Linked DNA regions of Caenorhabditis elegans. The protein of the gene in region 2 purifies or fractionates together with the protein of the main gene of each other region. This does not show direct contact. Each region holds a gene or a part of one and is shown on either strand. Other genes may lie near its edges.

Region 1 (15,779 bases), on a different chromosome or scaffold from region 2:
ATGAAACAGATTGCCGGTGTTAATGATAAGGGAAAAGAGCAACCGTTGAGCCAACCGTATGCACTGAAATCTCGTGTACTTTTACACGCGTATCTGTCGAGATTACCACTGGAATCGCAAAATGATGCGTTGGAGGAGGATCAGAGGTTGGAAATTGATGGAAACCCAGGAAAAAGCATAAAAATCGCACAATTTTGATGGAAAATTCATAAAAATCGATGAAAAATGACCCGAAAAGCGAAAAAAATCTGGAAAAATAATTTAAATTGCCAAAATTTCACTATTTTTGGCGATTTTGTGATAAAAATTGGTTGAGGCTTACATTACAAACTACACAGTTTGGGAGTCTCACCCAAATTTGGTTGAGGCTCACGCTACAAACTACAAATTGTCGTAGCCTCAACCAATTTTTTTCGGCGAAAAACGGTTTGAAATGTGTTAAAATTCATATTTTTCCACAAAAAAACATCCAGAAAATTTGTAAAATTTGATCTTTTTCGACGAAAACTGCTCAAATTTCGAAAAAAAGTGAGAAAAATTGGATTCTCAGACTACAAACTACAAGTTAGCGTAGCCTCAACCAAAATTACAAATTTTTGAATTAAAATTTTCATTTGTAATGCATTTTTTCTGAAAATAGCATTAAAATTGCCAACATTTCACTATTTTTCGCGAATATTCGATAAAAACCGCTTTAAAATACCGATTTTTAATTGAAAATCTCGAAATTTCCTCCAAAAATCGCCAAAAAAACCCATTTTTCAGCTACATAATCACCCGAATTCTGCGTTTCGTCGAAGAAATGGTGAATTGCTCGCAAAATCTGATGAACTACTCCCAACACACGAAGATTTCCATCGAAACGTTCGATAATCTTCTGAAATTGCAACCAATGTTCGTTCAGGCGCTTTGGCAAAAGAATAGCCCGTTGCTTCAGCTTCCACACATTACAGACTACAATTTACAGCATTTGAGAAAGGTTTGTGCCGGAAAATAAGCCATTTTGTCGAAAAAACCGTTAAAAATGAGCTATTTTTGATGAAAAATGCTCTAAAAATGAAAATTTTAAGTCAGAAATTTGTAGTTTGTAGTGTGAGCCTCAACCGAAACTCATTAATTTTTGGTGAGGCTACGCCAACTTGTAGTTTGTAGTCTGAATATTCAATTTTTCCCATGTTTTTTTTTCGGAAATTGTGCAGTTTTCGTCGAAAAATACGAATTTTTTCAAATTTTCTGTCTGTTGTTCGTCGAAAAATATCGATTTTTCAACGGTTCAAGCCGTTTTTCGCCGAAAAAATTGGTTGAGGCTACGACAATTTGTATTTTTGTAGTTTGTAGCCTCTAGCCTCAACCAACAATTTTTGTTATTTTTTAAACAAAATACGTCAAAAATACTAATTTTTCTGAGAATTTACTGGAAAATTTGTCTCTTTTTCTGTGAAATACGATAAAAATGTAAAATTTTGAGCAAAAGACCTTCAAACAAGTGGTTTTTCGGTGAAATTGAGCCATTTTTCCATTAAAAATTTCAGTTTTCGTCGAAAAAATCATTTTATAGCTCATTTTTAAACTAAATTATGCGTTTTGTAAAGAAAAAGTTCGATTTTCCGACAAAAAATCAGATTTTAGAGCGATGAAAATCTAAAATTCTTGAAAAATTACATTTTTTTGCAATAATATATTTTTTCAGCGCTTAAAATTTAAGTTTGTACTCTAAAAACGCTTTTTCAAAATCTAAAAATCATGAAAATTCCAATTTAATCACTGGAAATTCGGGGAATTTTTAATTTTTAGAGGAAAAAAATGAAAAAACCCCGATTTTCTTAACAAATTTTCACTAATTTCCACTAATTTCAGAAGCGTGTATTCTCGTGCCATGACCTAGCTGTAATGGATGCAGAAACCCGTCGTTCCGTCCTTCGATCCCTATCAAATGAGGAATATCGTGACGTAATGGTCGTTTTATCAATGATGCCACGTCTACAAATCGAGACGAAGACAGTTGTAGAAGGAGAAGATGATAAGCATGAACTGACGGCTGGATGTGTAGTTACACTGAAAGTTACGATGAGAAGAAGCCGATTAATTGATCCACAAGAAGCAGGGCTCGCTGATCAGTACAAAAAGTATGCGGAAGATGGTGGAGATGATGAGTTGGAAGCATCGGAAGCTCCAGAAGAAGCTGCTGCTACTGTTGAGGAGGAAGAAGTGAAGAAACGGAAGCCGTGGGAGAAGAATAAGCCGAAACAGAAGAAAAAGAAGGCTCAAGGTCAGGGCCAGAAGAAGTTTGTGAAGAAGAACGCCCCGGCTTCACCTGACACGGAGAAGGCTTTGAAGGAGGAGGCTAAGGTGCTGAGAGAGGAGATTTGGACGATTTTTGCGAAAAAAATCTCTTGAAAACTTGATTTTTAATAATTATCCCTGAAAAATTGCAACTTCTGCAATTTTTTTGCTCGAAAACTGAAGCTTTGACAATTTTCCAGCGAAAATATACATAAATTTGTAGATTGGAGATTGGAAGTGAGGAAAATCGATTTTCCCACAAATTTTCATCGTGAAAATCGGATTTTTGGCGATTTTTTACCCGTAAAATCGAATTTTGGCCTATTTTCTGTTGAGAAAACTGGATTATTGATAATTATCCCTGAAAAATTGCAATTTCTGCTTTTTTTTTTCCTTGAAAATTGAGTTTTTGACAATTTTCCAGCGAAAATGTAGAGAGTTTTAGAAATTCGTGTTTTTTCAGACAGAACGCTGGAATTTTGATAATTTTAACAAGGAAAATTGAATTCTAGCCGATTTTCACCCTGAAAATTGGATTTTTGGCGATTTTTGTAATAAAAAATCCTGGCTTTACAAAATTATTACAAAAAAATCCACTAATTTTAACTAAAAATCACAATTTTGTTCTGAAAAATCCAACATTTCTGGAAATTTTGAACTGAAAAAGCAAAATTCACACTAAAAACTATATTTTTGAGCAATTTTTCTAGAACATTTTGAGAAAAGTAGCAGTTTTTTTGTTAAAAAATTGCCAAAATGAGCTACTCCCAGTGAAAATGCTTGAAAAAATCGAATTTTCGATAAAATTCAGCCAAAGTTTGCATTTTTTCTCACAGAAAATCATTAAAAACTCTAGAAAATCGCCGGAAAATGCTGAATTTCAGTTTTCCATGGGAAATTTGTATTAAAAAATAGTTTTTTTTACTGAGGCTTAATTGTTCTTGACACGGAAAATGTCGATTTTCGACTAATTTAAGTTAAAAATCCGATTTTTTCCAGGAAATTTGAGGAAAAATTGCAAATTTTAGCGTTGAAAAACCTATAAATTTGAAAGATTTTATCCAAAAATTGGCATTTTCTAGTTGAAAAATCGATTTTAAACCCCCTAAATCTCGGTGAGGCTTACTGCACTACAAACTACAAAACCGGTTTAGCCTCAACCAGTTCGGGTGAGGCTAATAAAGCGTTTTGTAGTTTGTAGTCTGAGCCTCACGGTAGAAAATCGGGAATTTCGATATTTTTAACTCAATTTCCAGGAAGAAGACGATGATGACGAAAAAAATTCGAAGGCTTCAGATTCTGAAGATGAAGAATCGGGAGCTTCTGATTCGGAGAAGGACGGAGCCGCCGCCGCCGGAGGAGATCAAAAAGATGATCAAACCGATTCGGAATGGGAAGATGACGTGGCAAATAGCAAAAAATCGATATTCGAGACGAAAAACACACAAACTCACACTGTTCATGCTCCGTTCTTCCCGACTGAGAAATTCGAATGGTGGTGGATAACGGTAGCATATGTGGATAAAAAGGAGAAGTCTCGGCAGTTGCTGACGTTCCCACAACTCGTTAAAACACTGATTGATGAGCAAACGGTACGAATTCGAAGGATTTTGAGTTGAAAATCTGGTTTTTTGGAGGATTTTGATCCGGAAAATGTTGATTTTTGACGAATTTGAGTTAAAATTCGTCATTTTCCAGTCGAAAAATCGATTTTTTACCCCTAAATCTCGGTGAGGCTTACCAAACAAACTACAAAATCGGTTTAGCCTCAACCAAATTTGGTTGAGGCTAATGAGAGTTGTAGTTTGTAGTCTGAGCCTCAACCAATATTTCTAATGCTTTTTCGGTTGAAAATCGGGATTTTCTGAAGGACTTTGACACGGAAAATGTCGATTTTTGAGTATTTTTCTTGGAAATTTGAAAATTTGGAAATTTGAAGGAAAATTCGAATTTTAGCGTTGAAAACCTATAAATTTGAAGGATTTTATCCTAAAATCAGCATTTTCTAGTTGAAAAATCGATTTAAAACCCACTAAATCTCGGTGAGGCTTACACTACAAACTACAAAATCGGTTTAGCCTCAACCAATTTGGGTGAGGCTAATGGGAGTTGTAGTTTGTAGTCTGAGCCTCAACCAATATTTCTAATGCTTTTTCGGTTGAAAATCGGGATTTTCTGAAGGACTTTGACACGGAAAATGTCGATTTTTGAGTATTTTTCTTGGAAATTTGAAGGAAAATTCGAATTTTAGCGTTGAAAACCTATAAATTTGAAGGATTTTATCCTAAAATCAGCATTTTCTAGTTGAAAAATCGATTTAAAACCCACTAAATCTCGGTGAGGCTTACACTACAAACTACAAAATCGGTTTAGCCTCAACCAATTTGGGTGAGGCTAATGGGAGTTGTAGTTTGTAGTCTGAGCCTCAACCAATATTTCTAATGCTTTTTCGGTTAAAAATCGGGATTTTCTGAAATTTTTATGGATTTTTTTTAGAAAAAAAATGCTAAAAACGATCAATTTTTCTAAACAATTTGTTGTTTCCTTCCTTAATTACAGATAAAAAAGAAAAAAATTGTATTTTTCGTTAGGTAAGGCTCAGGCTACAAACTACAGAATCTGCCTCAACCACAATTTTTTCCTACGTTTTTGACGATTTTTTTGGCAAAACTATGCCAAAATTTGAAGTTTTCGCCCCAAAAAATGGCATATTTTTGCACTAAAAACTCCATTTCCCACTAAATTCCTATTGATTTCTTTCAGATTGACATTCGATTCGCGGCTCCACCACACAAAGGAATCTACACGTACAATTTGTCGGTCAAATCGGATTCCTATATGGATGCGGAGTATAGTGTTGATTTTAAGGTGATTTTTGATTGAAAATGACGGATTTTAATGCGAAAAATTGTAAAAAATTATATTTTCAGGCGAATTTCTCCTCAAAAAATCCATTTTCGACACAAAAAGCAGCAAATTTCTCAACAATAAATTCAAAATTATTGCAGATCGACGTGAAAGAGGCGAAATTCGTCGAAATCAAGCACGACGACTACGTGGATGAGGACGATGAAGCCGTCGAAGTGTCGTCGGACGATGATTATACAGAAGACGATGACTCGGATGAAGAGTAGCGAAATGCTCCAACAATTGCTCTCCAAATTATTCGTTAATTTATTTTTCAATTTTTCTTCAGTGGCCCCCCATTGTTCTCCCGCACTTTTCTCCAAAAAAATTTCAATCAATTTCTCTACTGGGTTTTCTGTTCTTCTAAAAGTAATTAAATTAAATATTTTATTTAAAAAAATTTGTATGTTTTCGTGTTCCCTATGCATTATTATTTCTATTCCCTTCCCACCAATCACATCACTTTTGAAAATGTTTCCTCTACATAGTTACATGAAATTTAGACCCTTTTTTCTATGCTTCAATTAAAAAGAATTTCAGAGACAGGAGCCCGAGATTTTTTAAATTCATATCATAAATATTATATACCACTAAAAAAAGGAGAAAGAGAGAGAGAAGACGACAAGAATTGATGTGAATTCCACGTGGAAAAGAGAAAAGGCGCTCCAGCGCTATATCACAAGGAAACAGGGGCGAGCGAGTAGAAAAGGAAACTTGTACACTAGGGGGGAAGGACGGGGGAAAACATAAAATATTTAAATTATGGGAATCAAACAAACAAAGAAGAAAACATCAATAAATTATCGATTAATTACTGCTGATACGGCGACTGGCGGTATCCCGTGGCAGATGGTCCTCGTGCGAATGGATTTCCTCCCGGGGCTCCGGCGGCTCCCGGTGGCGGTGCTCCGACTGGTGGGAATCCGGTTGGCGGTGGTCCGTAGGCTCCTGGGCCTCCTGGAGGTGGTGGTCCGAATCCTCCTGGGCCTCCTTGTGGTGGTCCGTACGATCCTGGGGCTCCTGGGCCTCCTGGCGGTGGTGGACCGTAGCCTCCTGGGCCTCCCGGCCCCTGTGGTGCTCCGAAGGCGGATGGTGGTGGAGCAAAAGCGCCCGGTGGTCCCGATTGTGGTGGAGGGGCAAAGTTTCCTGGAGCACTTGATACTGGCGGCGGTGGCCCTCCGAACGATTGTGGTGATGGAGCATGGAATTGCTGGGGTGGTGGAGCTCCGAAGGATCCTTGTGGTGGTCCTCCCTGTGGTGGCCCTTGTGGCGGTGCTCCAAATCCTTGCTGGGGAGCTCCCTGCGGTGGTGGGGCTCCGAATTGCTGCTGCTGCTGCTGTGGTGGAGCATATCCTCCATACTCTGATGGTGGTCCAGACGGTGGTGGCCCGCCAAACTGCTGCGGTGGAGCAAATCCTTGCTGCTGCACTGGAGTCGACGAGATCGAAGAGTGCGACGCCATCGGTGGTGGTGGAGCCTGGAATTGTTGCTGCTGCTGCTGTGGAGGCGGTGGAGCAAACTCCTGAACTGGTGGGCTCGCCGCATTCGACGTTGGGAACGACGGGATCGTCGCGTTCGGTGGCGGAATCGCTCCGAATTGCTCAATTGGTGGCGGTGGCTGGGAGCTGAAGCTAGTGTTCAGATCATCGGGAATTTGCTGATGTGGTGGTGGAGCATAGTGATTCTCCAACGGAATCTCCTCCTCAACGTGCGCCGGGCGATGATTGAATTGCTCGTGAACCGACGGTTGGATCGTCGCCGGGAGCTCGGCCTTCTCGGAAGGCACTGGCGATGGTGGAGCCGCTTCGAAGCTCTTTTGGAACACAATATTGTCGTGGTGAGATTGTTTTGGAGCCGAGAGATTCGCCACCGATGTGTTCGATTGTTCGGCGATCTGGGCAACGTCGAGAGCACTGAGAGCGCCAAGAAGCTTTCCAACATCAAGCTGAAAGAAAAATTGAATTAAAATTCGTTTTTCGCTAGCTGTAGTACTAGAAATTCCAATTTTTAGCCATTTTGTGTTAAAAATATTGAAAAAAAAAACCGATTATTTGGATAATTTTGTTTAAAAATCAATGAAAACGCTGAAATTTCTCCAATTTTTCAGTGAAAAACCAAAGATTTTGTGAATTTTAAAAACAAAATTGGTTGAGGCTCACACTATAAACAAAAAAAAGCTGCATAGCCTCACTCAAGCTTTAGCTAATTTGGTTGAGGCTAAAGCTACAAACTACAAAATCACCATAGCCTCACTCAAGCTTTAGCTAATTTGGTTGAGGCTAAAGCTACAAACTACAAAATCACCATAGCCTCACTCAAGCTTTAGCTAATTTGGTTGAGGCTAAAGCTACAAACTACAAAATCACCATAGCCTCACTCAAGCTTTGGCTAGTTTGGTTGAGGCTCACACTACAAACTACACTTGTTTCTTAGCCTCAACCAACATTTTTCAGTGTTTTTCCGGATTTTTTTTTGTCTAAAAAGCTCAAAAATGCAGCATTTTCGATGAAAATTCTGCAACATTTTGCATTTTCCCGCTCAAAATTGCGCTTTTCAGCTCAAAAATCGTTTTTTTTCGCTCAAAATCCTCCTTACCTTAATCTGCTCGACTTGCTTCTGCACATCGTGCACAGCCTCACGAGCTCTCGAGTCGACAACGACGGTCACGTCGAGCGTGGCTCCAGACGTGTGAAGAGCCAGCAGGAGGTCGCTATCCTCGGCGAGTGTCACCAAATCGCCTTCTAAAATTGACAAAAATTGAATTAAAATCGCAATTTTCAGTGCAATTCCTACCTTCATCCTTGTACTTCAACACGAAATTCGCGTCGGATGGGAGAGCCAAAAGCCGCTGCACATTGAGCACGAGATCGATGAGTGTCAAGTCGTTGGCGTGGTGAAGTGACGTCTTGCGGACGACGTCGGCGTGACGAGCCTTCAGAATTGTGCTCGTGATGGCTCCGTTTGAATGCACCATCTGGAAAAAACGGGGGTTTTTTAAAGGGAAAATTGGGTTTTGCGGGAGAAAAAGAAAGAAAAAAGCAAAAAAAAACCGGCGAAAATCAACTAGAAATCAAGAATTAAACACAGAATCCGAATTTTGGTGAGGCTCAGGCTACAAACTACGAAATTGGCTCAGCCTCACCCAAGTTTATCCGGAGCTCATATTTTTACGAAAATTTTGGATTTTCATGTGTTTTGACAGGAAAATTCGACTTTTTAGTTGAAATTCGACCTAAACGAGATCAAAGTTTCAAAATTAGAGCGGGAGTAGGCCAAAAATATGGTTTCATCGATTTTTAGGCGATTTTCCTATCGAAAATCTAAATTTTCGGCTCTAAAACCCACTTGAAACGCTATTTTCTAAGATTTTAAAGCAAGAAACCGGCAGAAATCAAGAAATAAAATAGTTCCACGTGTAATATAATAAAGCAATTCCATCGGAATCTCTAGATTTTCGCGGGTTTTCGGTATAAAAATCGGGATATGGCACATAAAATAAGTAAAGATCACGAAAATAGATCAAAATCTTCAAGATAATATTGAAAAAATTGCGAAACTAGGTCTAAAAAAATTCCACACGGATTTTCATCGTTTTTTGCCGGTTTTCTGGGGTTTTTTTATGGTGAAAATATCGATTTTAACCTCTAATACTCACTTTTCTTGCTATTTTTATGGATTTTCTGCAAGAAAACCAAGGAAAAATGGGAAAATAACGGGAAGAAAAACGATCCAAATCCGCGATATAAAATTCCACGTTCGGTAAAAGTGCGCCGCAGTTGCAACACGCGTGCCAGGATTGCAAATAGGGTACGCCCCCCGGCTAGACTCCGCCTTTTCAGTTATTCTTTTCGCGATTTTTTGAATTTCAATAGTTATCGTGTGGATTTTTCGCGTTTTCTGAAAAAATATGATAAAATCCTCTAATTTCAGCTCAAAAATGTCGAATTCTGACGATGAAATACAGGAAATTGAGGCTAAACGACAGAAAAGTAAGGCTTTGCAGCTGGAAATTCAAAATATTTGAATTTTAAATCAAATAAAATATATTTCAGTGTCCCAAGAAGATTCCGAGGTCGAAATCGAGATTCTAGATGAGCCGGAGCAAGGAAAACTGAAAAATTCGTCGAGTAAACCCGAAAAATCAATAAATTAAGGCGAAAATCCGCGATTTTTCAGTGAGCGACGAGCAAAAACTGCATGAATTTGCAATAATCACGGCCACAGATGAGGCTTTTGCGCAGTCGATTTTACAGGATGTAGACTGGGATTTGAAGAAGGCTCTGGACGTTTTTTACGGGAGTGAGGCGTTCGCAGAGGCCAGAAGTGCGGCCGTAATGGGCGCTTCATCGTCTATGGCGAGCTCTGGAGCTGCGGTGATGACGGCAGAGGATTTGAAGGTTAATAGAAGAATATTTGGAGCAAAATCAAGCCAAACCACCTAAAAACATCGATTTTCGAGTTAAAAAACCTCAAAAATGCTGCAATTTCCGTAAAATTTCAGTGATTTTTCACAGAAATCATTGAAAATTTGAAAAAAATCACTTTTTCAACCGGAATTCCGAAAAAAAAAATTGGTTGAGGCTCAGGCTACAAACTACAAAATCGGCCGAGCCTCACCAAAAATTTCCAAAGCGAAATCTGGCGAAAATACTTGAAATTTTCCTCATTTTTTATCAAAAAAACTAAAATTTCCATAAATTTTCATAGATTTCCTTCAAAAATCAGTAGAAAAACTAAAAAAAAATCACGCTTTCAACCGGAATTCCGAAAAAAAATTGGTTGAGGCTAAGACTACAAACTACAAAATCGGTATAGCCTCACCAAACATTTCCGAAGCATAATACTCGAAATTTCCCTCATTTTTCTTCAAAAAAGCTCAAATTTCCATAAAATTTCATGAATTTCCTTCGAAAATCTTTAGAAAAACTGAAAAAAATCACGCTTTTAACCTGAATTCCGAAAAAAAAATTGGTTGAGGCTAAGACTACAAACTACAAACTCGGCTTAGCCTCACCAAAAAAAAATTCACTTTTTTCGCGATTTTTCCAACAAATTTCAAATTTTTTCAGGGATTCGAAGTCAGCGTAATGTCGTGGAACATTGATGGGCTCGACGGGAGAAGCTTGCTCACAAGAATGAAAGCAGTGGCTCATATTGTCAAAAAGTGAGCAAAATCGGCGATTTTTCACGGAATTTTCAAATTTTTAGTTGATTTTGATGCAAAATCAGCAAAAAAATCACTAAAAACCGTCAAAAATCTTCAAAAATCAACCTGAAACGCCAAAAAAAAATTTCAGCGTCAATCCGGACATCCTATTCCTCCAAGAAGTCGTCGACCGTGATTTGGCGCCGATTGATAAGCTTCAATCGCTGTATAAAATCTATTATTCGAACAAAGGCTGCCAATATTATACGGCGATTCTTGTGTCGAAAATGTTCGACGTCGAGAAGCATGACGTCATTCATTTTCAGAATTCTGGAATGTACAGAACTTTGCAGATTTTGGAGGGATCTATTGGCGGTTTGAAGGTTAATTTTTCAGAAAATAGACGAAATTTTAAGAAAAAATCCCGGAAAACCGCTAAAAATGAGTGAAAATGATGGTTGAGGCTACCCAAATTTGTAATTTGTAGCCTGAGCCTCAATCAATTTTTATCGCAATAATCGAATTTTTCAGTTTTTTACTGAAAAAAAAGATTTTTTGAAAAATTCTCGCATTTTAATCCATTTTTTCAAAACAAAATATAAAAATTCCCGTAAAAATCAATCAATTTCCGCAAAAAATACCTTAAAATCGAGCAAAATGTATATTGGTTGAGGCTAACCACATTTGTAGTTTGTAGTGTAGGCCTCAACCAATTTTTCCCCTCAAATGTTTTCCCTCTTGTTTTTCTTGCAAAAAACTTCAAATTTTTACAGAAAATGGGATTTTCCACTGAAAAAATCTAGATTTTCAGGTTTTAAAATCAATTTTCGGTCAAATTTTACGGAAAATCCCTATGTCTTCCTGAAAATCTCTTTTTTGTTGTAAGATTTTCGAGATATAATTGATTTTTTTCAATCAGAATTCTGCAATTTCTAGCTGAAAATCACAGTATGTAGTGTGAGTTCGAAAAAAATTCGTTGAAACTTTGGTGAGGCTAACCAAATGTGTAGTTTGTAGCCTGAGCTTCAATCAATTTTATTTGTAATTTTTTTGAATTTTTCAATGATTTTTGTCGGAAATACATGAAATGTTATGGAAATTTGAGCTTTTTTGAGAAAAAATGTGGGAAATTTCGAGTATTTTCACCAGATTTCGCTCCGGAAATGTTTGGTGAGGCTAAGCCGATTTTGTAGTTTGTAGCCTGAGCCTCAACCAATTTTTTTTTCGGAATTCTGGTTAAAACCCTGATTCTTTCAGTTTTTCTTCTGATTTTTGAGGGAAATCCCTAGAATTTTGAAAATTTGGAGCTTTTTTTGAAGAAAAATGAGGGAAATTTCGAGTATTTTCATCAGATTTCGCTTCGGAAATGTTTGGTGAGGCTAAGCCGAGTTTGTAGTTTGTAACCTGAGCCACAACCACTTTCCCGAAAAAAAACTGAAGAATTTCCTCGTTTTAATTGATTTTTTTGAAAGAAAACTGAACATTTCTATTAAAATCATTCGCTTTTCGGCAAATTTAACAAATTTTTGTAGTTTGTAGCCTGAGCCTCAACCAATTTTCTCGTTTTTTGCAGGTATTCCTACTTAACACCCATCTCGAATCAACACGTGAGCACCGCCCGCAACGTTGTGCTCAATTCGGCTTCTGCATGGACAAAGTCCGTGAAATCATCGCTCAAAACCCGGGCGCCCTCGTCTTTTTCGGCGGCGATTTGAACTTACGAGACGAGGAGGTCAGCCGTGTGCCTGACGGTGTTAAGGATGCCTGGGAGGCTGCCGGCAGTGATAATAAGACAAAATTCACGTGGGACACCTTCAAAAATGACAATAAACAGGGATTCCATGGCGCTAAGATGAGGTAAAAGCGAAGAGACAAATAAAAAAGAAATAAAAAATATTTTGCCACACCGGGGGCTCGAACCCCGGTCGTGTGATTGGTAGACGGCGAAAAGCGCACTGAGCCATTCGATCATTTTTTAAAAAATAAACAAAAATCGATTTTTTTCAATTTTTTAAAAAATCTAAAAAGCTTCAAATTTTCAGATTCGACCGCCTATACTGGTCTGGACCACTGGACAAAGTCAAATTCACACTTGAAGGCCGCCAACGCATCCGTTCCTGTTTGTGCTTCCCATCTGATCATTGGGCTATCAATGCCACGTTTTTTGCCTGAAATAAGCCTTAAATAAGCCTTAAATCATCATTTTTTACCCATTTTCACTTGTTTTTCGACCGGTTTTCACTATTTTTACCCAGGAATTACCTCCCAGTTGTCACCGGGTTTTAATCTTTTTTTTTCATCTAAGCTCCCTTTTTTTTGAAAACTCGTTGTTTTTATTGATCTTCGATTTTCGATACTGATTGTAAATAAATCCACTTTTTTTTTTCTTTTAAAACTATAGAAAATCGCTCATTTTTTGGAAAAAAAAATTGGCGCCTAAAAAAATTAGAAAATTGAAATTTTGGGATAAAAAAATATTTTATTTTTTAAATTTCGAGCTTTAAAATAACAAATTTCATCTCAAAACCACTACAAATAGAAAATAAAAATTTTTGCCACATTGCGGACTCGAACCCCGGTCTTGTGATTGGTAGCCGGCGAAAATCCCACTGCGCCATTCGGACACTTTTTTTTTCGAAAAGCTTAAAACTCGATTTTTCTGATTTATAAGCCTCTAGATGATTGTTATTATCTTAAACTATAGGAAAAATCGTTTTTAGAAGAAAATAACTAGAAAATTGATAATTTCGACTCAAAACCCAACTTTCAAAAACTTTTTGTTCTAAATTTCTAGGTTTTGAGGTTTTAAATTGCTAAAAATCACATCAAATTGGCAAAAAATTGAAAATATTCGCCACGCCGCGGACTCGAACCCCGGTCTCTTGATTGGTAGCCGGCGGAAATCCCACTGCGCCATTCGGACAATTTTTTTAAAATTGCTCAGAAAATTTTGTTATGTTAGGCCTCTAGGGGTGTTGTTTAGCCACAGAAAAAATAAATATATCGGTTTGGAAATTTTTAGAAGCAAAAAAAACTAGAAAATTGATAAATTCGACTTTTTAAAAACTTTTCCTTCTAAATTTCTAGATTTTTCCGTTTTAAATTGCTCAAAATTACCTAAAACTCACAAAACATGCAAAATAAAAAATAGTTGTCACAGCGCGGACTCGAACCCCGGTCTCGTGATTGGTAGCCGGCGGAAATCCCACTGCGCCATTCGGGCATTTTTTTGGAAAATGTTTAGAAAAAAAAAATTCTATTTTTTTTTTAAATTTTAGTTTCTTCAGATGATTTCGTGTCTTTTTAAAACTAATTTGGCCTGAAAAAAAATTTTAAATTTAGAGTTTTCCGGAGGTAAGGCTGCCAAAGGACTGGGGGGTCGATGCACCATAATTTTTTTTTCTTTAGAGAATCGATATTTCCCCCCCACCTGTCCGTCTTATTAGAGACTACGCAGAGAAGACAAGAACACTCCCTGACAACCAAATTGGCCTGCAAAGGGGTCACCATATCTCCAATATTTCCTCCCGCCAATGCCTGCTCTACCTTTTCCAATATTATCACTTCCTCCGAAATCCCGCCGAATAGCCCTAAAATGTATGGATACTTTGGATTTGTAAGTCTTTAAATTCTTAATTTATAGATTTTAGGCTATTAGGGCCCGAAACTGTTTAAAATTTGAATTTCCCGGCAAAAATCGATGGTAAAAAAATTTACAACACGTTTTGCTCACTGTCTCTAAGGCTTAGGCTTAGGCTTAGGAAGAAGCTTAGGCTTAGGCTTAGGAAGAAGTTTTGGCTTAGGCTTACACTTAGGTCCAGGCTTAGGCTTAGGCTTAGGCTTACGCAAAGGCATTGGCTTAGGCTTAGGCTCATGCTTAGGCTCAGGCTTAGGCTTAGGCTAAGGGTTTAGACTGAGACCTAGGCTTGGCGTCAGTGGGGGAGCGTTAGCTTAGGCTTACGCAAAAGGTTAGGCTTAGGCTTACGCAAAGGCATTGGCTTAGGCTTAGGCTCATGCTTAGGCTCAGGCTTAGGCTTAGGCTAAGGGTTTAGACTGAGACCTAGGCTTGGCGTCAGTGGGGGAGCGTTAGCTTAGGCTTACGCAAAAGGTTAGGCTTAGGCTTACGCAAAGGCATTGGCTTAGGCTTAGGCTCATGCTTAGGCTCAGGCTTAGGCTTAGGCTAAGGGTTTAGACTGAGACCTAGGCTTGGCGTCAGTGGGGGAGCGTTAGCTTAGGCTTACGCAAAAGGTTAGGCTTAGGCTTACGCAAAGGCATTGGCTTAGGCTTAGGCTCATGCTTAGGCTCAGGCTTAGGCTTAGGCTAAGGGTTTAGACTGAGACCTAGGCTTGGCGTCAGTGGGGGAGCGTTAGCTCCCCCACTGACGCTATTTAGGGTTAGGATTACAGCGTTTTTTTCATTTTTCAAAGGGTTCCCGTTGGCCGATCAAAGCGATTTTACACAGAGGCGTATAGACCACCAAGAAGCTTCCGTGTAAAATTTCAAATTGATTCCATCAAAACTCGCCGAGTTATGGAGCTTAAGGTGTTTTCAAAATGACCCTCAACTATTTTTTAAAATTTGAAAGTTTGGCGTTTTGTCAGTTTTCTCCCTAAGCTCACGAAAATTTAATGACAGCACTACCGTAGCGAAATAAGTTTTCTTGTGAATTTTGAGCCAATTTCGATGTACAGGAGCCGAGATATTAAGCTTCAAAATATAAAAAAAGTTCGAGTCCGGGTGCGGGCGTCTAAATTTTTTTATGTGCTGTTTTTTGTTCACTTTGAAAACGCGCGTGTAACTTGACGGTGGGTGGATGGATTTTGATGCGGTTTTTTGCTGTCTCTTCAAGAAGCTTGCCCCACCTTTGTATGCTTTATTTCAGAAAGATTGGAGCTCTTTGAGCCGAGATATGAAGAGTATTTTCAAGTATCCTCCAAAAATCACGTTTTTTTTCTCATTTTTCGCCTCTTTTTTTTGCAGGAAAATTCGAGTTTTTGCGATTTTTACGAGATTTTTTAGCAGTTTATAGTACTCGACGAGATGCGTCGAAAAACATACAAATCATCCAGATCCATCAGCTATGAGCTCTTTTAGAGAGCTCCAAAGTCAAATTCGCAATTCGGTGTGTTTTTTTCGTGTTTTTTCGCAAACCACCGCTTCGTGCGCTGTTGTCTTTGAGAAATCTTTGGTTCCAAGGTGAAATTATTGTATAAAAAAATCGTAGGTACATTTTAAAGTAAAAATTATTCCGAAAAAGTGATTTTTTTCATTTTGAAAATCGAGGCAGAAAAAAAATTTTTGATTTTTTTTCCAAAAACTTTTTTTTTCCCTTCTCGTAGGATGGCGGTCGTTTGAGATATTTTGATTTTGAGGAAAAAAAATGAAATTAAAAATATTTCTAAAGCGATACAGCAAAAAAATTTTGAAAATTGAGTGAAAACGC
Region 2 (15,399 bases):
TTAGCATATTCAGACGATGGAAATAATTTGATTGTGTCTGCAGAAGATGTTGTACTTGTTTATGATCTTCGAGATGGATCTAAAGGAAAATCAGTGAGATATTTTATATTTTAATCGTATTAAATTATAAATATCACAGATAGAGTGTAAGAAATATGGAGTCAATTGTTTGGAATACTTGGACACAGTTAAATGTGTTCACAGTGGTCCAAATGACACGACAATTCGATTACTTCATCTACAAAAGAAATCATATGTCCGTTATTTTGATGGCCACCGTATGCCGGTTAATTTTATACGAACAAATCCGAAAGACCGTGAAAAGTTTTTGTCAAGTTCTGTGGATGGAGAAATACGAATGTTTGATACGAGAACTTTTGAGAACTATGTAAGTTAATTGTGGAGTGGAAGTGAATGGGGATTTTGCTTCAAAATATCTCAAATAGTCTCAAATTCAGAAATACCACTAAAGAAAAACGAAAAAAATCGCGAAAGAATCATTTTGGAGGAAAATAAAAAGGAGGATTAGCTAAAATTGAAAAATCGCGTTTTTAAAAGTTGGATTTATGTATCACTCTATCTCGATTTTTTCCGCTTTCTTTTACGGTATTTTTGGTTTTTTGGATTTCCTAACAGCAAAATATTTTGCTAAAATTTCCATTTAATCCAACTCAATATTTAAAAAAAACTATTTTTTGCAGTAAAAAATTCAATATATAAATAATCAATTATTTATTTCCAGGGATGCCTTCTAGCTGGACACACTCCTCTAATTGCTTTTGATCCTGATGGAATTCTATTCGCTGTTGCAACAAAATCGGACACAATCAAACTATTTGACATGAGATCATTCGACTTGGGTCCATTCCAATCATTTATCATTACTAAAACTGATAATGATGAATGGTCGGATATCGAGTTTTCTCCATGTGGGAAATTTATTTTAATTTCCACGACAGCTGGAAGTGTTAAATGGATTGATGCTTTCGATGGAACACTGATTCACAGCTTTTCCCAACACAAAAATCCAAATGTCAGTTTTTTTTGATAAGCGAAAATTAAATGTTACTCAGTAGCGAAGTTTTGCGATTTTGAGCGAAAATGCGGGTTATATCTCTCGAAGGCATTTTTTTTTGTGAAACTTTAGTGAAAAATATCAAGAGTAAAATAAATACCTCAAAATCTAGATGAAAAAAAAAACAAAATGTGAAAAAGAAAAAAAAATTCAATTAAGGAGAGTTGGGTTACTGTAATCAGGACTGAATCCAATTTTTTTTTCGAAAACGAAAACGAAAATAGTTTTTTCGCCAACAATACGATTTTACAAAAAGACGAAAAACATCAAGTTATGTCAATTATAAACGTTTCTTTAAACATTTTGAGCAAATATGAATTTCGAATGTTATTTTCTATAAAAAACTTGAAAAATTATAATTTTTTAAACAAAATTATCTTTTCTATTTCAGAAAATCCCACTTCGAGCATCGGTCTCCACTGATTCTGGATTCGTAATGGTAGGAAGCGCAGACCGAAACGTTTATATCTATTCAACAGAAACGGGTGGAGTGACTTGCAAGCTTCCAACTCCTTATCCTGAACCGTCACATGTAGTTGCTTTCAATCAGAAACAATTCCTGATGACATCTTTAGGACGAGAAGTTATATTATGGGCACCCAGTGAAGAATACACTCAGAATCTTTAAACAAAAAGATGCAAATAGCACATTTCAAATCATTCCCCATTGATCTCGATTCAACATTTTAAAATTACGATATTTATAATTTTTACTCACAAAAACAACAATATGAATGTAACAACAAGTTGAGATTCGAAATGAAGAAAGTTCAATATCAGAAAGAATATCTTGATGACACCATTGCTGCTTCTTCTGGAACCATATAATCCAAGATTTCAGTAATAGTTGATTTCTGCTCTTCGGACATAAATGCGATTAAAAGATCAAAACGACTGAGTTCACTGATGATCATCATTCGTGCGGCGAGATGGGGAATCGTGCGACCAGTTTTCAGATGAAAGTTGAGTGCCTTGAAGATTTGAACAGCATATACATCGTCTAGGAGTTCATCGAATAATTCTGAATATTTATCCATGCTGATATTCTGAAACAAATTTCGATTAATTCTGAAACGTCACAGATTTCCAACTTACTAAGAAATATTCTGCAAGAGGAAGCAAACTTTGGGCTCTTTTCAACATATTCACAGCTCCAACAAAATCTTGATAGTCCTTTGGGTGTGGTGGAAGCTTTGTTATATACTTTGGAACAATATTATCATTCTCTGGTTCTTCAGCGACAATGATCTCCTCGATCTTCTCAATATTGTACGTAAAGTCGATTTTTGTGAATTTTTCATCTGATTGTAGATATTCGTCTCTTTCGATTGACGGAAGATCAATAACTTGCACATTTTTCTTTCCTTTCAGATCATTTGCTTGTCTCTCCATATTTGGATCATTCGAATATTTGAAACAAGTTTTCATATCTCTTTCAGCCAATTCATACAATTCCAGTGCTTTGAAGGCTTGAGCTCTTCTGTAGTAAGCTTTTGCTGCAGTTGAATCCAAATTTAGTGCAGCAGTACAATCGATTTGGGCAAGTAGAGGAAGATCTGCGTTGAGCCCAGCTTGAGCTCGATTACTGAATACAATTGGATCAGGCCAATGTTCAAGACTTTTCGAATAGATTGTCATAGCCTTATGATACTTTTTCTTCTTAAAAGCTTCGTTTCCCTGCTCTTTCAGACGTTGTGCAATTTTTTTTTCTTCGTCCATTTCTGAAACGAAATATTTTATTTCAAAATAAGGTAATTCACAAGTAAGCTCTATCTCCAAGAATACTTTTTATTCATTCAAGACACGAAAAAACCTTTTACAAGTACAGTAACCCATTCATCAGTATTCTGAAATCTTATTAGATTTTTTGGGGTTTTTCGAATAAAAAAACAAAATTTAAAAATTTAAAGAAGAGAAAAAACAATTTTCTTGTTGGTTTTTTGGGTTTTAAAACAATTAATTTCTTGTGTTTTGGGGTCAGCCCTAGCGCAGCCTTTATTTGAAAATTGTTTTCCGTGGTGAGAGCAGAAAGCGTTTTTTTTTTAAATAAAAGCAACATTTCACAATTTGGTAACAACAAATAACAATGCGATGGAATTATCTACCAACTTGGGTAAAAACAGATATTAAAAAAAAAAAGCAAGCATTTTATTTACAAGAATACCCGCAACGGTATTAAGTGTTAGTTTTTATTTAAAAAAATTTCAAGATTAAGTTTAAAAATCCAATCTATCACAAGAAAAAAGCATCTGGATAAGAAATAGACATTCACAAAAATCGAAAAAGGCAATAAATATATTTGAACAACTAAATTTGGAAATTTTTAATAGATCGGAAATCGGTTCGAAGTCGAACAAAATCATGAATCAATTGTCTATCAACATTTTCGAGCAACGAGGAGTGAGCTGTTTCATTAACTTGATCGGGAAGAACGGCGAGCAAATTGGTAAGAGCTTGAAGACTTTCCCATTGTGTCAGTGCATTTTGAACTCTCCATTTTGATACAAGAGTTCGAAGTTCTCCAACATCACAAAGAAGAAGTACAGCACCAGTAGAATTATATGTGAACTGTTGAATATGTGTAAGCATGAATTTGAATAGCCGAGTTGCAAGATCAGATTGAAGTGCTTCCAAATTTTCGCCATCACATCCCAACTCCATTGCAGCAACTTGGTTTGCAAGAAAACGAGATGCCAATTGACATTGTGGGGATACTCGAATATCAATTTGCTGAGAATCCGGACGGAAATCAGTTTTCTTTTGTTCGCTGAACAAGAATTTCACGTATCCTACGATTGAATTCAATTGCCGTTCCAATCCTAAACTCATTTTTGATTCCAAAGAACGCAGAGATTGTTGCCATTTCTTGGCAACAGATGGTTCGACAATTGTTTCTCTGAAATAAAATATATTTATTTGTTTTCTAATAAAAATTAAGCTCACTTGATAATAGGGAAAATGGGATCTTCAAATTGTTTAATCATAAGTAAAATGACACTGGTACATTTTGCAACAACCGAGAAAAAGTAGGCAGGTGGTTCAGTTTTTGATTCTGCAAGAGAAATTCCAGCCAAGCCTGTCTCCACAGCATAATCCAAATGTTCTCCGTAAAGATATTTTAATAGAACGTCTACGATATTTTCCACGTGTCTTGGCAGCTCTTCTTTGTCACATAACTGCAAAAAAGTTGAAATTTCGAATTTATTTTTGCAAAAATGCTAGGTTTTTTATACGTTAAAATTTTGAAAGAAGCTTGGAAAAAAATTCCGAATATTATTTCAAAACTCTCAATTTTTAGGAAATATACTCGGAAACTTGAATATTTTTTGAATATTCCTAAAGAAAAATTAAAACAAAATAATACAGTACCCCACCGTTTTATTGGTTTCTTTTGGAAAAAAAATGGGTTTCTTGGTTTTTTTCGAACCAATACAAATTTTATTGCAAAAATGTTGATTTTTAGTCGGAAAAAGGAAAAATTTTGAATTTTTTCGTTTTTTGGTCGAAAAATTTTTGCTGAAAGCCACAGGTGACACTGAAAATCTCGTAAAAAGCTCAAAACGTTTTTTTTTCTTGAAAACTACAGTAACCCAGCACTAATATTTGAAATTTGGAATTGTTGAAAACTACTTTGAAATATCGAAAAATTCGGCGAGGCGGGTTTCAGACTTGAATTTGTATCAGTTTTTCGTGTTTGACGATATTTTTAAACCTTTTGCAAAAGAATCAAGTACCAAGAATTTATGCAAAATGTTGCAAAAAATCTTGTTACTTCATTATTGCTTTAAAAATTTCCGTTCGACGGTCTCGTCACGTAGGAGAGTACGGTAGATTTAGGTTATAACAAGAGAGCGTTCAAACTTTTTAAAATTTTCTTTCATTTTTTGCAGTTTCAAAACATCAAAATTCGTACCTGATTTGCCCGCCCAAACGCATTTTTGGTTTCTTGAAGAATCGAAATGGCGACATCTTCAGCGACAAAAGTCTCTCCTCCATAAGTTTCCACATTCATTAATCTTGCAGCCACATCTCGTTTCAACTCGTGTAATCCACCTCCAATTTGTTTCTTTACGTGTTTTTTTGATTCATAGAATCTTTGAAGGAGATTCGAACATTGATCATTCAAATATTTCAACTCTTCCGAGCAGTACGTAGCTATGTATCTTTGGAAAATAGAGTCAGTGAGAGTTGATAAAAATGCACTGTCTGGGCTGATATGAAGTTTTTCCAATTCTTTACACATTTTCAAAGTGCTCGAATAGAGATATGCCAAATCACGGAGATAATGTTCTTGATCATCTGTATCTTTACATTCTCTAAGTCTTGCAGTTATTGTTTCTTTCATTCGTCCTGTGAAAATATTCAGAACCAATTTCTGCATAACAGTGTGTGGAGATGGAAATATTGCAGATATTCTTGGTTGTTGAGTTCGACATAATTGCAAGCAATCCGCTAGAATTTCTCCACCATCGCCACGTGGATGAATTGATTGACACAAGAAATCGACGTATCGATCGACGCAACCCGAATAACCTTTGAACTCGCTCAAAATCTTCGCAACTTCTGCCATTTTCTTCTCATCTCGTTGAGATCTGACGAATTCTTCGATTAGCAAGTCTTCGACAACTTTATATCTTTGTCCAATTCTAGCTTGAACATTTGCAAATTTGTCCTTATTGAGTTCCTGAGAAATTGAATAAAGCTTATGCACCAGATCGGCAGATTCGAGAAGCTTATCAGGATCAGTGAAAATCATGGAATTGAGAGGTTGATCTGAGAGGAATTCATCGAAATGTTGCATCAATTGATGAGCATCATGAGCTCGTGAACGTGGTTGATCGACGGATTCAAGTTGATCACCAAGATGAACAACTTTTGTAGAGACTGCTTGCATTGTATGATCTAATTGTTTCATTTTATCAATTGCTTCTCCATTTTTCTCGTGAAGACGGTGAAGTTTTTGTACATAATCCTTCTTTTCCTCGTTCATTTGCTTTTCAAGAGTATTGATTTTGTTCTAAAAATTTCCACTTTTTTTTAATGCGAACAGAAAATTGAAAAATAACCTGAAACTGATCACAAAGCATCTGTAAACTGCCAATTTCTTCCTCGAATCGCATTTTCAAAGAAACCGGATCGTTTATAGTCTGAGCACTTCCGGTCATTCTCCATGCCAGTTTTTCAACAAGATCAATTGCGTCGAACGGTTCCTGTTCTAGATCCTGTACATATGTCACATATTGTCCACCACTCATCTGTAATTATTTGTTCCTAAAGCATGAAAAACCACTTTTGAATATAAAATATACACGACGGCTATAAAGAACCAATTAAATAATCTATTCAAACCTTATCAGTTCTGATAGTTTTATACTAAAGAATAAAATAGAGTAAAGCACATTGAAGTTTGAGCAAATAACAGGGAATTTTTAAATGCAAATGGCATACAGGGAAATAGAAATGATTGACTAGTATTGGCAGAGGGACAAGATTATGCAATATACAGAAACATTTAGGTATTTTGAACAAAAGTTAAATATTTACAATGAGAAATTCTAATTCTATTCAAGCTTAGTTGCTTTCAATTCTTTTTTCTTCTTTTTTTCATCGTCTTCGTCGTCGCTGAAGAAAAGTAATGGAAACATTCCGAGTAAGCATCCGACTGTTAAACCAGCTGCTCTTGCAGCATTCGTTGTGAACCTGGCCTGAAATCATTTTTTTAAATTTAAAGAGTTAAAAATTCTAGAGTGTGAAAAAAGACGATTATTTTTCTCATTTTCGTTCAGTAGTTGAACATTTCTGGTAAAAAAACGTTCAAAAATTTATCGGCAATTTTCAACTTCATTATCAGATAAAACAAATATTTTTCTAAATTCTATCACTAAATTTTATTGAAAAAAATTGAGAAAACATGCCACATTGGCACAATTTGTACCCCTGCTGCATGCAGCAGCTGCAGACTGAATTTATTCGGGCAGAAGTTCAGTGTGAATAAAATTTTTAACACTTTTTATCATTTTTTGAAAAACAATCAATAGATCCTTTTTCACCTTTCCACTGTCCAATTGTTGAGATGTCAAAACAGGATGTTTAATTCCAACTCGTTGCACTGCAACCTCTACATAATGCGCGAGACCAACGCCAGCAATATCCGAGATAAGATTTCCGAGTGCAGCGGCTGCCATAGTTGATATAGCTAGAACGGCCCCGAGTTTTTGATCAATATACTCGCCAGCTAGGATCATAATCATGTTGTCAAGAACACCGAATCCAATAAAAGGAATAGAATTGACTAGAAATATTCCTTTTACTTGCTCTTGAGTAAGTTCTTCTACTTTCCCATCTTCTTTCTTTGTCAAACAATCGTCTAACGCCGATTTCAACATCTGTTGTTCAATGATAGTCAGACGACTTGCAATTTCCATAGCATCATTTGGAGTTTCAATTATCAGTTTATCAAGATGTTTGAAAGCTGCTGTAGTCGATAGACGGATACTTGTGACAGAATGGTTTGTTAGAAGCGTTCGAGAGCTCGCTCTGCCGATCATGGCAAAAGCCAGACGAGCTGGCGAGCTGATCATTTTTTTGCCTTTCGGCAAGCCGTGGTCTGTAATTTAACTTATGAGAAGACCAATAAATTTAACGAATAATACATAATTAATAACGAGTGAGAGGGATTTGACTGGAAAACAACCATTTTCAAAAAAAAGAAAAACATTCAATTTATAAACAGTTTTCATAAATTAAAACAAAAAGGAACTGTGAGCCCATTTTGAAAAAAACACCGAATGAATTGAAAAGAATAAGAAACGACAAAACATCAAATTTCAATGATATCCGCGTCCGCCTCCTCGTCCTCTGCCTCTTCCACGACCTCTTCCTCTCCAATTTTGTCCACTATTGTCTCGTGAAGTGTGTTGTTCGAGAACCTAGAAATGACAGTTGATAAGAGCAATGTTTTAATGACGCCACAATGGCTAGAAAAAGATTGAACACAACAAACCTGCTCCTCGTGAGTTTTTGGACGGTCGAAAGTACTTTTTTGTCGATTTTGGGAATGTTGCCTATCTGAAAATAGTTATTTCAAGAAATTTTCCGCAATTAACAATGAGTAAACTTACCAAAAGTATGTTGTTGTTGTCTGAAAGATTCTTGTTTCACTCCAACCATTTCTTCTGTGCGTCCTCCACGATCTTTTGGAGCATCCATAATTGAAAGTGGATGTTGTTTGCTTTTTGTTCGTTCTCTGAAAATACAATTTCATAGTTTTTACCATACATTTTTATAAAAATACCTTCTATCCATAGATGACGCTTTTTGAATATAGAGCAATGAAGAACTTGCAGAAAGAAGATGAGCTACGTCACTGTTCGCTTTAACTCGTCCAATTTCATCGACACGAGCAGAAAGAATTGATTGAATATTCTCTCTGTGCATCTTGAGGCGATCATTCCATAAAAATGATTCAACTGTGACCTTGAGTCGACTGTTCAGAAGTAGAAGTCGATTGTAAAAATCACGAGAAAACGATTCACACTGTTTTTCAATTTCAGGAAGTGTATTTTCATCAAGAGTCGCTTTGAAAAGTGGATGTCTTTGACTTTGGGAAACGCGTCCATCTGTCTGAAAATAGAATTTGAGAGGGTTTCTTCAATGAATTATTAATACCTTTTGTCTCAAAGTTTCCAAGAGTTTCCATTCATTAGAATTTCCTGCTTGTTTAGGGAAGTTGAGTGTTCGAAGGGCAGAATCAATAAGTGGAGTCAGTTCGAGATCACGTTTTTCGGAGACCTTAATGAATTATTTAGGTCGAAGTGGAGGGACTTGAGACTAAAAAGCAAGAAAAAACAAAGTTAAATAGAAAATATAAAGCAAAAATTTGAGAAAATGTGATTAATGATAAATCCGAGATATTTCCAGTTGTGTTTTGGCAACTTAAATGCAATATTTCAAAAGAAAACTTACAATTTCACCCGATTCAATTCTTTGTCTAGTAATGAGACGAGCAGTTTTGACTTCTGAATCAAGAAAACTTTCAAGAAGCTTCTTTGCTGATGAAGATTGGAAACGTGTTCTAATATCACCGCATGTCAGTTCTTCATGAGGACATTCTGAAAACGAAATAAATTAATTGTATTATCTTCATTCCTTACCTAATTCAAGCAAAAAAGTACTGAGATCATAAAGAAACTCTAGTAAATTATGGTCATTCGGCTGTCGGACGTATTCTTCAATTTCGTACAATTCTCGAATTTCTGCACAATATTGGATAATTTGATTGGCAAAATCGAGAGTTATTCCATCTGACATTCCTGAAAAATTGTCGGGATTTGGCTCAAGAGGGGTATTAGAGAAAATGTGTTCAATGGAGTAAACAACAAATAAGTTTACACTAAATAATCGAATGGAAGGCTGGCACCAGTCACTGAAAACTGACGAAGTGGTGACATCTTATGAAATATTTGACAGCGGATTTTGCTGATATTATTAAAAAAATGTTTAATTAAATGTTACGTTAAAATCATTAATATATGCAAAGAACAAATAAAAACAGGAGAGAAATTGCCGAAAGAACTCAACACTAGAGTTCTCCGAGTGGAGTACATAGGTCGTTCGATAGAGCGCACTTGCGGGAACAGTTTTTGTGTCATTTTTTTATTTCTTCTCATGGAATTCCGATCGGAAGGAATATATTTCCGAAGAATACATTATGATCATCTTTACTGGATTATTTATGTTAAAAAAACCAACTAAAAATCCGAGAATCATTTTATTTTAAGAAATAATTCATCAGAAAAAACGATGAATTAAAAATGGCAAGTGGAAATGTACCCTAGACGAAAAGTTATTGATCTTCACGGAAGTCAAAATAAACAATTTAAATACAGATATGAATATGAACAAGCATGTAGAAAAGTAAGATTATCTATTTACATTAATTTTGAATCGATTGTTAGTGTTTAATCATAAATTTCCATAAGTCGTCGGTATGATTTGCAAATCCAATTGAAAAGATGATTGCAGAAATTGCTGGGAGAACCATAGCCGGAGTTGTTTTTGATCTGTTAAAAGAGTATTTTGTAAGAAGTAGAATTTAAAACAGTTTTTACCTCCATATAGAAAAGAAAACTGAGAAAACCAGTGATGCAAAGACTGCGGCAAACGTGATTGCAAAAAGATTTGTATCATACATTGAGCTGTACTTGAGAACAACATTTAGAAATACTCCAGGAACCATTATATCAAGTGCAGCGAGACTTTGTTTATTTCCTTTTGTGTCTCGAGGTACAAGGATCATGAGAGGAGAACGATTTTCTTTGACTACTGTGCCTGAAAACATCTATATTAAAAAGTAAACAATGTAAAAAATCGCAAAATCGAAAATTTTATTTCAGTCAGTCTCGTAAAACAATTTAAAAAATGTTTAGTACAGTTTATGAACACTTCAATTTTATGTATCGTAACTTCGCGAAATTTTGTCATGTCCGTTTAAAGGCACATGATGTTTTCCGCGTGGGTCTCGTCACGATATCAGGTGCTAATTTTTCAAAGTTGCTAATTTTTATACAGAGACTGAAGTTTATAAAGGCAAACATTCCAGCGTTTTCGTGGACGCAAGACTACGATTCCAGTAACTTACTCAAAAGATCCACCACATAAAGGAAGAAAAGATCAAAAAGCGACATTCCAATGACAAATATAATTGCAGTTTGATAGCTCACAGCTTGAATTCTTGAACACACGACGTAAATCGATGCAAAAGCAAGAATGTCGTTAGAGATCCAATTACCAGAACATTCATGATAAAGTCCAAATGAGAGAGATACAAGAAGAGAAGCGTACATCATTGATTCTTCATGATAATAAAAGTAGAATGCTGTAAAATTATGAGATTAGAGTTTCAGCTTTAAAAATATTAACTTACACATATGCTGACTGAATGATTCCAAAAGAATTATATGAATACATGCAACGGATGCCCAGATAGGCACATGAACAGCAAACAATTCAGCAATTATGTCGAGCAAACTGAACGTTTTTATTTTGAAGTTTTGATAACAATAAAATAATTCAAATTTTTAGTTATTGATTGTATTTCATAAATATATATCCATGAAGCATCCTTTTTCAATTCTTTTTTTGCTCCAAAAGTGGGTATTCGCACAATTTTAAAATGAAATTTCCTGGTGTCTAGAGTTGGCAAAACATTTTGGATTTTTTTAGAATTTATTTTTTCTGCATAATAAAATTTTTGAGAAGTTGTCAGTGTCTGGAATAAAATGAACGTTTTCACATTATGAAATAAAAGTTTCGAAATTACAAGCTGCAAAAACCAATAATTAAGAAAAATGTCCCAATATATTCATCAAATCACGCTCCCAAGCCTGGTTAAGATGTTTTTTTTCAACACCAATTTATAAATATCTTCATTTGCACTTTTTGTTATTAGTTCAATTTTCACTATTTGTTTTGCTCCTTATCAAATAAAAACTCACTCAAGTTGAATGTAAACTCTGGGTCCATCATCACTCCTCGGAAGTAGGCTCAACGCACTTAGTGAATAGGAAAATAGGTCAATCTGAAATAATATGATTTAAATTAAAATTTGATTTAAAAAAACAGAAAACTTACATCTCCGAGTTTTTTATAAATGTCACATTTCTCGGCCGTCGTACCTTCTTCTCCGGTAGTCCATACAATTTGACTTTTATCTGGTGATCCACCCATTGAAGATTTTCTGCTTGATCGTTGACTTGCAGATATCCAATTGCTTGAAGATCCTCTGTGTGTTGTCATAAGATCATGAGTACTTTTTGAGTTAGTACGACTACGAACTTCTGGTGTAACAGATGACGATTCTGAAAAAGTGATATGATTAAAATAATTATAATTAAAAAAAAACAAATTTCCATAAAAATTTAATTTATTGAAGATTTAGTTGCGGTAGTTTTTTTTAAATTACAGAGTTGATTGTCAATTCCACTTTTCGAGATAAAATATTTTTTCAAAAATATATATTTCGGATGTCAATATTATTTCCCTTTTTTAAAATTCTGAAGAGTTTTGAAAGCACTTGTATTGGTGGAATAATACCTGGTGGAATAATAATTTTACTGCCATCTTCTGCACTTTCTACTACAAATCTCGATTTTGTTAACTTTCTTGGAGGAGGTGTATCTTGTCCACTTTCATTATCATCCACATATTTCGGTGCAATATCTTCTTCCTCCATTCGTTGACGATGGCTTCGAACTGTATTTTCGATGTCTGCTTCTTCAATATCTGATAGCAATCCTAGAAAAATAACAATTATATATATATACGAATCAAATTTATAAGTAGGTCATTAAAGGAAATTTCGAGCTCACTTGAAATTACTATCTACTAGATTTCTCTCACTGTAGAATGAACTTTTCTGAACACAAATGTGTATAATTTCGAAATAAATGAGAGAAATTTGATATGATAGGACGATAAATTTATCAGTTTCCTTCAATTTTGATAATCTTACTTCGAATTCTTTGCTGTTGCTCTGCCTGTTCATCTCCTAATGAAACGGAAGCACGCCTGCTGATCTCACGGGAAACCTTTCGAGAGTTGAATGAAGAGGATGTCTGAAACAATTTTCTGTTAAAGAAGAAACAAACAATCACATCATGAAATGAATCGATTAATCAATCAAATCAAGGGGAATTACGCTGAACTGGTTGATTTTGATTACCAGACCGAGTTTAATTGACAAGAATGACAGTCTCAAGAAGTTTTCGAAAGATATTTTCAACAATTGAAAGGGAATTAGAGCGAAAAATTAACTATTTTACATAAAACTAGTGATTGTATTTTTTAAATTTTGAATTAAATCAGCATTTTCCTAGTAGAATCACCTTGAGTTCTTTTTCAGCTTCTCTAGCAATTTCTCTGTCTCGTTCGATATTGGCGCTTCTTTTAGTTCCCAAATATACAAAATACAAGACTATAGAGAAAACGAATGGGAGAATCATTGCAGGAACCTGATCCATGAATATTACAGTTGTTGAATCGAGCTGCAATTTTTTAAAATTAATTTAAAGAAATATATTTTATTAAAAACTAACCTCGAAAAAGTAAATTGTAGATGCCCTTCGACAGGAGTGATAAAGTACAATCCATGAAAGAATTAAAATGCTCGCCGATGCGGCAATCTTTGCCACGTCGTCTCGCATTTTTGGTGGCGAATCCTGAGCTTTTTTTGAATCAGTACACATACTTTTTCTTTCTGGGAATAGCACGTGCTAACTGTGAGACGATACGAAAACAAAAATGGCAAGAGACGAAGAGAAATCAAGTAGAACCGTACTATATAAAGACCTGTTTATCCTTTGCCATACGAAACAAAAAAGAAACGTGCGTTGCTGCCGGTGGGACGACACATAAAGAGAAATAAAGAATGTGTGGGAAAATCAATCTTCTACTGCTGGCCGGTGACCAACATTTTTAAAGAGCACCACAAACACGTGCTGCTCTCTAGTTCTCCAAGCAGTTGTTTACACATTCGAAAACGCTCTCACAGAGCAAAAAGTCGCACAAAATAAGGTCTCCCTGGATTTCCCCGTTCACAAATTACCGAAATATTACTTTTATTTTCCGACAACAGTTTATAAAATGGATGAAAGTTCACGATTTTAGGTTACAAAAAGAGGAACAAAATAAAAAAAGACAGAACAGTGAAAGGTAATAATGGTAAAATTCGGTTAAACAACAAAGAAATTAAATTTAGTGAAAACTTTTTTAAATCATTGATTCGAGATTCTTCGGAGGAATTAGGGTTGCAAATTGATGTTGTGGAGAAGATACTGTATGGTCTTGGATCTTCCACAATTTAGTGCGGAGAAGCAGAACGGCTGCGAGAACGGCTTCGAGAGCGGGAGCGACTCTTCGAGTGAGAACGATCACGTTCTTGAGGAGATCGAGATCTGAAATTTCTCATTTAAATTTAAATAACTATATCCAAAACTCTTACCTTGAACGAGTACGTTCTCTTTCGCGACTGCGTTCACGACTGCGATCTCTGCTTCGGTCACGACTGCGATCACGGCTTCTGTCGCGGCTGCGATCACGTCCACGATCACGAGAGCGTGAACGGGAACGTCCACGGTCTCCTCGGTATGGCGATCTGAAATAAACAATGTTAAAACATTCCGAATATTGCATATTTGTCGAATACATCTTTCCTGCAGATGGCAGCATAAAGAAAGGTAGATGTAACTTTCTTACTGAATGGGAAGATTCAGCCGACGAAGGCATGATGAGACGATTTTGTCAGAAGCTCGATTCAGGAACTACTGCGGAGAATTAACTGATGAAAAGAGTCAAAAACAATTCTGGTGCGATGATTTTGGGAGAAGTAAAGGGCGCGTAGCGATGTGGAAGAGAAGAATGTGTCGTGAAGACAGAAGACGGAGAGGAGTGGAAGATAGTGATGTTTGGGATGGCAGATGGGGACGCGGACGAGCGGAGTCCGCTAAAATTAAAAATTTGGTCCACGGTTTTACCGAATAAAATTTTTAATACAGCTCTCTTTTCCTTTAACTATCAAATTATTTTCAACTAACCTGTCTCTTCCGCCACCACCTCGGCCGCCGAAACCTCCACCACGACCGCCACCGCCACGTCTTTGTCCAGTTGAAAGTTCAACACGAGCACGGACACCACAGATTCTTCTATAATTTTGAAGCATTAAACGAATATCCAAAGCAAACAACTTACGATCCGTCAAGAGCGCGGACAGCATCTTCAGCGTCACGAACGTCGTCGTATTCCACGAACGCAAATCCAGGAGGGCGACGAGCTACCCAAACCTTACGGATCCTTCCAAATCGATCAAAAATCTCTTCGAGCTGAAAAATGTATATTTACATAATTACTGTTAATGGCTCAAGATTGAACTCACTTCTTGTGATGTTGCATCACTCGGCAGACCGCCGACGTACACCTTGGCGTCCATACTGAAAAATCAAATTAATTTATGAAGTTGCAAAAGAACGAAGTTTGAATATTCAAAAAATAATTATTGAGAAACAAAAATAAGTGTGAAACGGAGATAGCTCGAGAGCAACGCGCGCGAAATGATTTCAATAAACGCGACGCAGCTGCTCGCGATGCGTGTAGTACGGTAACACTTGTTTCAGCTGTGCAGATTTCCTAATGTCGGGGTGAGATAACGGCGCGAATTCGAACGAAAATTTCAGTTGCAATTAATCTTTTTGATAAATGCATTTTATAAATAAGCCGAATTTGTTGCACTGTATAACGGATACATGTATTAATACAGAAATTGTGCAATA

The links.
Region 1: the proteins of sec-10 (region 2) and tfg-1 purify together in Caenorhabditis elegans (affinity purification with western blotting, with the first as the bait; one study listed by BioGRID). This does not show direct contact.

Annotation. Positions count from the first base shown.
Region 1 is NC_003279.8:14,094,432-14,110,210, reverse strand, and holds tfg-1 (Protein tfg-1), read right to left. Parts: upstream 8,890-15,779; 5' UTR 8,846-8,889; intron 8,165-8,845; coding exon 7,984-8,164; intron 7,932-7,983; coding exon 7,786-7,931; intron 7,136-7,785; coding exon 6,002-7,135; 3' UTR 5,741-6,001; downstream 1-5,740. Other genes in the region: dnj-29 (J domain-containing protein), read left to right, coding at 1-146, 766-979, 1,858-2,349, 3,540-3,875, 5,047-5,151, 5,292-5,417; tdpt-1 (5'-tyrosyl-DNA phosphodiesterase), read left to right, coding at 9,128-9,179, 9,243-9,317, 9,367-9,587, 10,260-10,354, 10,488-10,719, 11,910-12,193, 12,379-12,508; fbxb-100 (F-box associated domain-containing protein), read left to right, coding at 13,870-13,952.
Region 2 is NC_003282.8:7,776,170-7,791,568, forward strand, and holds sec-10 (Exocyst complex component 5), read right to left. Parts: upstream 6,331-15,399; coding exon 6,142-6,330; intron 6,093-6,141; coding exon 4,989-6,092; intron 4,252-4,988; coding exon 4,019-4,251; intron 3,972-4,018; coding exon 3,383-3,971; 3' UTR 3,212-3,382; downstream 1-3,211. Other genes in the region: swd-2.1 (Anaphase-promoting complex subunit 4-like WD40 domain-containing protein), read left to right, coding at 1-93, 140-388, 743-1,033, 1,467-1,703; rpap-3 (RNA polymerase II-associated protein 3), read right to left, coding at 1,852-2,121, 2,171-2,794; tag-321 (Transmembrane protein 65), read right to left, coding at 6,637-6,780, 7,126-7,656; tag-322 (uncharacterized protein), read right to left, coding at 7,903-8,004, 8,079-8,143, 8,197-8,321, 8,370-8,698, 8,744-8,866, 9,041-9,186, 9,229-9,385; imp-3 (IntraMembrane Protease (IMPAS) family), read right to left, coding at 10,029-10,137, 10,186-10,405, 10,716-10,952, 11,001-11,104, 11,572-11,654, 11,708-11,934, 12,170-12,370, 12,588-12,690 and 2 more; rsp-6 (putative splicing factor, arginine/serine-rich 6), read right to left, coding at 13,935-14,028, 14,076-14,228, 14,668-14,775, 14,822-14,952, 15,006-15,059. UniProt on the Caenorhabditis elegans protein: Component of the exocyst complex involved in the docking of exocytic vesicles with fusion sites on the plasma membrane.